2 linked regions of the Macaca mulatta genome follow. The protein of the gene in region 2 binds, or shares a complex with, the protein of the main gene of each other region. Links are inferred from orthologs where the notes say so. Each region holds a gene or a part of one and is shown on either strand. Other genes may lie near its edges. The genes, in order: PLCE1 and HRAS.

What was found.
Region 1: the proteins of HRAS (region 2) and PLCE1 are in contact, whole or in part, in a crystal structure (PDB 2C5L), measured with the Homo sapiens proteins. The link is inferred for Macaca mulatta from reciprocal best matches to the Homo sapiens genes HRAS and PLCE1. Residues at the interface, in NP_001123914.1 of Homo sapiens: Ile24, Gln25, His27, Val29, Glu31, Asp33, Ile36, Glu37, Asp38, Ser39, Tyr40, Arg41, Glu63, Tyr64; in NP_057425.3 of Homo sapiens: Phe2138, Pro2146, Glu2147, Gln2148, Pro2149, Arg2150, Thr2151, Val2152, Ile2153, Lys2154, Lys2171, Tyr2174, Ser2175.

Annotation. Positions count from the first base shown.
Region 1 is NC_133414.1:105,930,514-105,934,773, reverse strand, and holds the start of PLCE1 (1-phosphatidylinositol 4,5-bisphosphate phosphodiesterase epsilon-1), read right to left. Parts: upstream 3,014-4,260; 5' UTR 2,686-3,013; intron 1-2,685. UniProt on the Homo sapiens protein: The production of the second messenger molecules diacylglycerol (DAG) and inositol 1,4,5-trisphosphate (IP3) is mediated by activated phosphatidylinositol-specific phospholipase C enzymes.
Region 2 is NC_133419.1:424,607-429,177, forward strand, and holds the start of HRAS (GTPase HRas), read right to left. Parts: upstream 2,880-4,571; 5' UTR 2,864-2,879; intron 2,839-2,863; exon of another isoform or gene 2,703-2,838; intron 1,832-2,702; 5' UTR 1,782-1,831; coding exon 1,671-1,781; intron 1,388-1,670; coding exon 1,209-1,387; intron 1,058-1,208; coding exon 898-1,057; intron 803-897; exon of another isoform or gene 721-802; intron 200-720; coding exon 80-199; 3' UTR 75-79; intron 1-74. UniProt on the Homo sapiens protein: Involved in the activation of Ras protein signal transduction. Ras proteins bind GDP/GTP and possess intrinsic GTPase activity.

The sequences.
Region 1 (4,260 bases), on a different chromosome or scaffold from region 2:
GATTTTCTGAGATGGTGAAAATGTTCTATATCTGCACTGTCCAATACAGTAGCCACTAGCTGCATGTAGCTTTCAAGCACTTGAAATATGGCTGGTTAATTTCATTTAACTAATTTCAATTCAAATGTAAATAGCCATATGTGGCTAGTGACTACCATATTGGACAATGCAGCCTCCGAGGGCTTGGTTCCCAATCTGGCCCATAAAAATCTATTCAAGCCATAACACAGATGAATTATAGCCTCCGTAAAAACCCTGCATTCTGCATCCAGGGAGCAGAGAGGAACACAAGACGCTAGAAAGAGTTCTGCCCTTCTTTGTAGGCCACATGGTCGGCCTATAACAAAATGCATCTTTGATATCTTCTTCCTCTCTTTCTTCATTCCCTACTCCTCCATCTCCAACTCTCCTCTTTGGGCCTTACATAATTAAATCACACGCTTCCCTAAAACCCTATCAGAACCTTCCAGCCCTCCTCCAGAAGCACCATACTCCCCAATCACCTGTCTTCCCTCCCCTCAACCAAACCCCTACTTGCTCAATGCCACACATCTCAACTGAACGTTGGGAGGAAAGCAACTTCAGCAAACAAATTCACACTCTAAGCTGCTTCTACTGCTTTTGGCTTTTTCTCTGCTTCTGAACCCAGAAGCTCTGTTTTGTTGTTCTTCCACCGCAGAAGTAGTTCCAGCAGAGAGAGAAGGCATTAGGACCATAGCAACTGTCCTGTATAGACACCTGTCAGCCAGGCGTGTGGAACACACACGCACGCGCACACACGTGCAGCACAGCCTCACTCTGTGCAAATCCCTCCTCTTGCCCAGGCATGGGAAACATCCCCTGCTGCCTACTTTAGAAAACTCTTCCACCATACACAGTAGTTTTTCAATCTTCTTTTATTCATTTAGAAAGTTACAGGTAACAAATTGCACATCAAACGATTTTTTTTTTTTTGAGTATACAACAAAAGCCCAGCGAAGAATGTGACTAAGAATGGTTGTAAATAGAAAAAGAAAACCAACTGCCTTCATTGGAATCTAGCTTCTAACCCACTGGAGTATGGAATTTTTAATGACAGGTCAAACTTGGAGCACATCCCAGGAGTTTATGTTACTAAGAGGACTGGAAGAATGTCCCTCCAGTTCAATCTCACCTCTTACCTGGTCCCAAGGCATGAACCAAAGATGATTATTAGACAAGGCTCCCAGGTATAAAAGGAATTTCCCCCATGGGGCTGTAAATAAAGGATAGTGTTAATGGTAAACATTATACATTCCTCTAGCTCCTTTCAATTATATTGTCTCCTTCTCCAAAGTAGATATTTATGTTGTAAAACCAAAATCTTAAGATTTAATACTGGCCCACAATTATCTCTAAAGAGTCTTCTAAGTGCAAGCATTTTGCCATGAAAGCCACAGCAAATACCTTTAGTAGGGAAAATGAGACATCTACATAAATAACTCTCAGAAGGTGGAGAGCAGAAAGGGCCCTGGAGAAAAAATCCTGCAGGAATCAGAGCAGGCGGAGTTTGGCTGTTTCAGGAAAAGCCGCACAACACCAGCAAAACACAGTTTGAAGGATGGTTAGACTTTAGAGTGGTGGATGTGGGAGAAGATGTGCCATCATATGGTTTAGAAGACTACACCATGAGACATTCTTCAGAAAAGTATTCATGAAGACATAGATGCATGCAGTAACCTAGAGATAGTCCACCTCTCTCCTCAATGACAACTGGGCACCTGTACAAGCATCGATGGGGTCACCTGCTTCCACCTCCCAAGTCAGGCTCTCAAAAATTCTCCCTAGGGGGGTCAAGCATTCTTGGCCACAGTAGCGCCCATTCTGTGGCAGTGGCCCTGCCTTACCTCTTCGGGGGTATAAGAAATATGAAAACACACCAATCCTGCAGAGATCTAAAAGACCTACAGGCAAATTTTGCATAATGCAACTGAAATTATGACCTTCGTGCAAATAACTTTTCGAAGAGTGAAAAGTTTTAAGTGAATCCTACTTAACATGTATTCAGGGAACTCACTATTTAAAATGACACTGATTAATCACTAAATGAGTCTTACAATGAATAATTGGTTAAGTCGGCTGAACCAAGTGTCTCATGGCTTCAATACAAAGCAAGGGGGCGAAAGCTCCCACAAATTTACGCTGTGCACCTAACATTCGCCACGACAGAAGACTTCTTGCTCTAGTGTTATTTATTACTGTGGCATTAAAGGACTTGAAGGAAAAGCTAGCTATTCTTCTAGTTACCAGTTAGAGCGGGACCAGGTCCAATATTGTATTTTCTAGGACTTGATGTACACAAATCTCTCCAGGAACAATCTCTTGAGCACTTTCCTTGAAATACTGCTGCTAAGCACTGCCACAAAAAGAGCTTATGATTTTCTTTGCACTGGCCCCTCCACACCGCACTCACAACACGGAGGGGTGACCTGAGGCAGACGTCTGGAGTGAAGGTACTGGCAGGGTGTCTTTTAGCCCCTGCGAGGGCGGCCTGCATGCCCTGGGGTACCACCCGCCTCGGGTCCCCCGGGAGGGCGAGGACACTCTTCCGCCAGGTACGCGGGGTCGGGCTGCTCCCTTCGGCGGGTCGACTGCCTTGGGAGAGAACGAGCCCATCCTTCCCCTTCTCCAGTCCTCAGGAACCGAGTTACAGAGTCGCTTCCTCACCTCTTCGCTCCTGGCGAGTTTCGCCGGCGTCCCCAAGCGCTAAGTCCCTCTGGGACCCGCCGTCCGCGCGCCTGTCGCTAGCGGCGCCGGGTGTCCCCGCTACTGTGTGTCAGCTGCAGAGCCGATGCCCAGGAACGCGCAGGAGCCAGGCAAGTGCCCGAGAGGCAGAGCCCGGGAGGCAGAGCCCGGGCGCGCCGCCGCTGCCCCTCCCGCCGCCCGCCGCCCGCCGCGTTGCCCACGTTGCCCAGCGTTACCGTGTGGACCCGCGCAGTTCCCAGTCCGCGCCCGCCGAGCTGTGCGCGCTGCCCGGACGGCGGCGGCTGCGCGGGCGGCAGCGGGGCCCCCGCCCTGGGCCGGGCTTTCCCAGAACTCGCCCGCCCCGGGTGAGAGGCCGCTAGCGCCGCCGCGGGCGGCCGAGCGGCCGGGGGAGCGGCCTGTGCCGGGCCCGCCCCCGGCTCCCGCCGTGCGGGGAAGGCGGGCGCGGAGCGAGGACCCGGCCGCCTCCCCCGAGCTAGCTGCTGGCGGCACGACCCCTTCCCAGACCCCTGACCCTGGCCCCTAGGAGCCATCCTTTCTGGCGGGAGCCAGAGAGAGCGCTCTTGGGGCGCCCGGCTCCGGGAAGGGCGGGAACTCTGCACACCTCAGGCGGCGGGAATGTACTCTCACACTACCCCAGGGAACCATCCCTGGTTGACAGATATGGAAACTGAGTCTCACGGCAGATAAATGACACGATCAAGGTCTCTGTAGTAGATGGCAGCACCAAGTCTCGAATCTGTTCTGTCACTCGTTCATTTAATACATATTCATTGAGCCCCATCAATGTGCCCAGCGTTGTGCCAGGCTCCGGAAATACTCCTTTTGCTGGTAATGCGGGGCCATCCAGGCCTGCGGACTCCTAATCCAGTACTCTTTCATTGCTCAAGCACACCTGAAGATCTTAACAGCTAGAAACCATAGGCTCTGCACAGAACCTCCTTAGCCGCTGGAGCGGCTTTTATGAGTCTTACGAGAGCCTAGGACCTGGAAAAAAATCAAATCATCATCCTCCTCCCTTTCCCCTAAACCTGTTCCTCCTGCCTCTACCTGTTCTAATGGAAGACCCTTCCCTAGGCCTGACCTCTTCTCCTACATCTGATCAGGACCCATTCCTGTGGCCCATATCGCCTCCGACTGTCCTCTCCCTTGGACCATATCAATTCTTCAAACCACCTCTGTATTATTCTTCCTCTTTTACAACTTTAATCTATGCAGAAACATTCATTGGCTCCCTATTGCCCTCCAGACTAACTCCCCATGGCTATAGTAACCCAGCATGCCCTGGCTAATAAGGATCACCCAACAGAATGTCTCTCCCACTCCAGCTCTGTACCTGAACTTAAGCTGAGCCTTCTACCCGGAGCATCACTGCCTCCTCCCACACACTTTCCTCCTGCTCATGTTTGACCCTTTCTTTCTGGTCCCTCTTAAAAGTGATCTCCCCTTCTTGGATGCTCCAGAACACAGGAGAGGTTGGAGCAAGAATGCACAGGAGGCCCAAAGAATCCTGCTGTTAAGAAAAATCTGCCTGTCTGG
Region 2 (4,571 bases):
GCGAGGAGACCGGCAGGGGTGGGGAGCCCGGGGTCATCCGGTGGGCGTGGCGGCCGCCCTGGGAGCCCCCTCACCTGCGTCAGGAGAGCACACACTTGCAGCTCATGCAGCCGGGGCCACTCTCATCAGGAGGGTTCAGCTTCCGCAGCTTATGCTGCCGAATCTCACGCACCAATGTGTAAAAGGCATCCTCTACTCCCTGGAAAAGGAGGAATGGGATCAGGAGGGACAGGCCTGTGGCCCCCTGCCTAGGTGAGGGGTTCCCTGCTGTGCGATCAAGCCGTGCCTGGCCCAAGGCTCCCGACTCCACCAGCCACTTCCCCAGGCCCACCACACACACAGGAAGCTGGGCTCTGGTCATCTCGAAGAGCCCAGGGCCACCTGCACCACGCTACAGCAGCCCCTCAAAGGTCAGGGTGGCCCAGGACCCTCCTGAACTCCAGATCTGGCCAGGGTTTGACCACCCTGCACCCAGCTCTCATCTGAGCTATGGCCAGTGTCCCCAGCAGCCTCACTAAGACTCAGAACCAACAGGTGCCCGTGGGACACTCTGGGGACAAGAGGGGCTGGGCCCCAGGGTCACCGCTCCGGCCTGGCTCAGGGCAGCTCTCCCCAAGGACCTCCGCCTTCCCCGGAGCTGTGTCGGCCCAGGACTGCAGGGCGTGAGCCCAGACCCCGGCCCTTGCCTCCCTCACTGCCCTGCCGTCCCGGGAGACTTACAGCGCGAGGGGCCGCTGGGTCACATGGGTCCCGGGGGGTCCCAGAGGGTCCCGGAGCTGGAGCCAGAGCCAGAGCGGCTGCCCTGTGTCAAGGGAGAGGGGTGAGTGAGTGCTGCTCCCTGGCTGGGGCGGGGCGGGGCGAGTCCCTGGCTACCTGTGGGCTGGAGAGCTGCCTCACCTGTCGCGTCTTGGCCGAGGTCTCAATGTAGGGGATACCATAGCTTCGGGCGAGGTCCTGAGCCTGCCGAGACTCCACGGTGCGTGCAGCCAGGTCACACTTGTTCCCCACCAGCACCATGGGCACGTCGTCTGAGTCCTTCACCCGCTTGATCTGCTCCCTGGGAGGAAAAGTGAGAGCTGGCTATAGGGGCTGCAGGCACGACTGCATCCAGGACATGCACAGAGAGGACAGGAGGCCCCTGTCTGGGCACAGCCGGCCTGACCCCACTTGTGCCTCGTGGGCTCCCGGGCCAGCCTCAAGGGGTTCACCTGTACTGGTGGATGTCCTCAAAGGACTTGGTGTTGTTGATGGCAAACACACACAGGAAGCCTTCCCCCGTGCGCATGTACTGGTCCCGCATGGCGCTGTACTCCTCTTGGCCGGCGGTGTCCAGGATGTCCAACAGGCACGTCTCCCCATCAATGACCACCTGTTTCCGGTAGGAGTCCTGCAGGAGGACAGAGCTCAGGGACCCCTCAGGACCCTCCATGCGGGGAGTTCACAATGCCAGCCTCTCCCTGTACCTCTCATGCCCCTCTCATGCCCCCTCATGCCCCTCTCATGCCCCCTCTCCTGGGGTGCTGAGACGAGGGGCTCCCCTTCTCTGGAGAAAGCAGGAGACAGGCCCAGAGCACCATGCAGGGCCAGGGGCCGCAGCCACCCCTATCCTGGCTGTGTCCTGGGCTCGCCCACAGCAGCTGCCGGGACCTGGACGGCGGCGCCAGGCTCACCTCTATCGTGGGGTCGTATTCGTCCACGAAGTGGTTCTGGATCAGCTGGATGGTCAGCGCACTCTTGCCCACACCGCCGGCGCCCACCACCACGAGCTTATATTCCGTCATTGCTCCTCAGGGGCCTGCGGCCCGGGGTCCTACAGGGTCTCCTGCCCCACCTGCCAAGGATGGTCCTGCTCAGCCAGGCCCAGGCCCCACAGGGCAGCTGCTGGCAGAGCCATCTGAAGAGCAAACCCATAGCGGGCCCTGGGTCCCAACGCCAGGCAGCAAGGACTGCAGCGTGCCTACCTGTGCAGCTGCAAACCAGCGCGGGGGAGGACTGTCGCCTCGCCCCCACTTGCTGTTAAGGACCCAGTGAGGGGAAAAGGGAGCCAGCCTCCAAAGGCAGGGCTGACAGCTGAGCGCTCTCAACCAAATTAGAAGCTGCTGGGTCGGCAGAAAGACTAAAGGGAGGCGCCCGAGGGCTGAGGTTACCGTCCTCCTAAACAGGTCTGGCCACGGCGGAGCGCGCCACGGCGTGCCCGGGCAGGCCAGTGCCAGCCTGCAGGCCCCGTGGCGCTGGTGCCTCCGACAAGTATTTGCTGAGCGCCTACTGCGTGCTAGGCGCCGCTGAGGGGAGGGCAGACCCGGGCAGCGCCCCGCGCCCCCGGCGGGGAACCGGGGGCATCTTTCAGCCACAGAAAGCTGGAAAAGACAGAGGGGCTCCTGGGAAGCAGGGGCTGAGCCACAGGAAGGGGCCGAGAGGCGGCGCGGGAGACCCGGAGAGGGGAAGGGCCCCGGGGCTGAGGCCCCCGGCCTCGTCCGCGACCTGTGATGCTGAATCGGGGGTGCCCGGGCGTGCCGTGGCCGCGGCCGCCTCCGCCCAGACGCGCCTGGTTATGAGGGCGCCGGGCCCGAGGCTCCCGGGGACGCCGGCGTGAGGACCGTGCCCAGAGCGAGGCCACGGGCGGGGCCCGGATTCCCGCAGGCCCCAGGGACTAAGGGGCCTCAGCCCGCCCCCGCCAGCCGCAGCCCCCGACGCCCGCTCACCTGTGCCTGGGGGCCCCGCCCGGCCCGGCCCCACCCACCCACTACCGCCGCCGCAGCCGCTCACGCCCGCCGGTCCCGCGCCCCCGGCCCGCGCCGCGCGTATGGCTGCCGCCTGGGGGCGGGGAGGGCGCGCGGCCCGGCCGACCCCGGCCCGCACTCACCGCTCAGTGGCGCGACTGCCCCCGGGGCCGGGGCCGAGGCCAGGGCGGGGCGGGGGCGGGGGCGCGCGGTTCTCCCCGCGCATGGGCTCCGTCCGCGGCGGGTGCGGCTGGGGCTGCAGGCGCAGGGAGCGGGCGGCGGAGACTCGACCGGGCTCGCGCACGCCCCACCCCGCGCCCGTCCGTCAGCCCGGCGCGACCTACCATTGGCCGCGCTACACCAGGCCCCGCCCCGCCCCGGTTGGCTGAGCGGCCCGTCTGTCAGGAGCCGCGGTCGGGCAGGGCTTCCGGGAGCAACGCGGGAGGCGGAGCCAGAAGGGCCGCGGCCTCGGGGGGTTGGGCTAGGCCGGCGAGCGGAGGCAAGCTCCGGGTTGCTCAAGGAGGGCGAGGGAGCAGGTGTCTGGGGGCCTGCGGCGGCATATCCGAGCAGGGCCGTGGACTCTCCCGGGAACAGGCCGGCGAGAGAACCCGACTCAGCGGCGCCCGTGCACTCGAGGCCCTCCCTGCGTCCGCAGCGCGGCGTCGCCCACCGCGGAGGTCCCGGGGCTCCGGCTGAGGAAAGGCTGGGATCCGTCGGGACCAAGGCGGGCCGCTCGGAGCTGAGGGCCCCCGGGTGGCCGCGGGGTCCGGTTGCCCGGCTCCCCTTCCGCGCAGGTGGAGTGGCCCCGCACCCGGACGGTGCGCACCCCGCCTCCTCCGCGCACCCCACCTACCACACGCACCCCAGCTCCCCTACTCCCACCTCAGCCCACCCCGAGGACGCCTTGCAGCTCCGGTGGGGTTTCGAGCGGCAGGCGCAGCCGTGCTCCCTGGGGCCAGGCGTGAGAACGCCCCCTCCACCACTTCTCTTACTTGGGCCTGCGTGGCAGGCGACCCTGCCCGCTCAGTCCCCCCAGACTTGAGGTTCCAACCATGCAGAAGCTCAGCGTGGTGCAGTTAAACGGTACCTACAGGTTGCCACAGGAGAGCGAAGTGCCCAGGGCTCACCCCAAGCACAAAGACCACATCCTAGCTCTTTCAAACCCCAAAAGACGTGTTTTTTTTTTTTTTTAACATTTTTTTAAATTGCAAAGGAATCAGAAATACATTCTCATTAAAAAGCAAAAGGGCCATCCTGGCTGACACGGTGAAACCCCGTCTCTACTAAAAAATACAAAAAACTAGCCGGGCGAGGTGGCGGGCGCCTGTAGTCCCAGCTACTTGGGAGGCTGAGGCAGGAGAATGGCGTGAACCCGGGAGGCGGAGCTTGCAGTGAGCTGAGATCCGGCCACTGCACTCCAGCCTGGGTGGCAGAGCGAGACTCCGTCTAAAAAAAAAAAAAAAAAAAAAAAAAAAGCAAAAGGGGCCGGCCGCGGTGGCTCACGCCTATAATCCCAGCACTTTGGGAGGCCTAGGCAGGTGGATTACTTGAGGTCAGGAGTTCAAGACCGGCCTGGCCAACATGATGAAATCCCGTCTCTACTAAAAATGCAAAAAATTAGTCGGCTGCAGTGGCGCGAGCCTGTAGGCCCAACTACTCAGGAGGCTGAGGCAGGAGAATCGCTGGAACCCGGGTGGCGAATGTTGCGGTGAGCCGAGATCGCGCCACTGCACTCCGGCCTGGGTGACAGAGCGCAACTTCGTCTCAAAAAAAAGGCGTTTAAAAAAAAAAAAGGCGTTTTACGGTCAGGCAAACCCTGCCTCTGCCCAACCCAGTGCCCGCCCCGCCGCC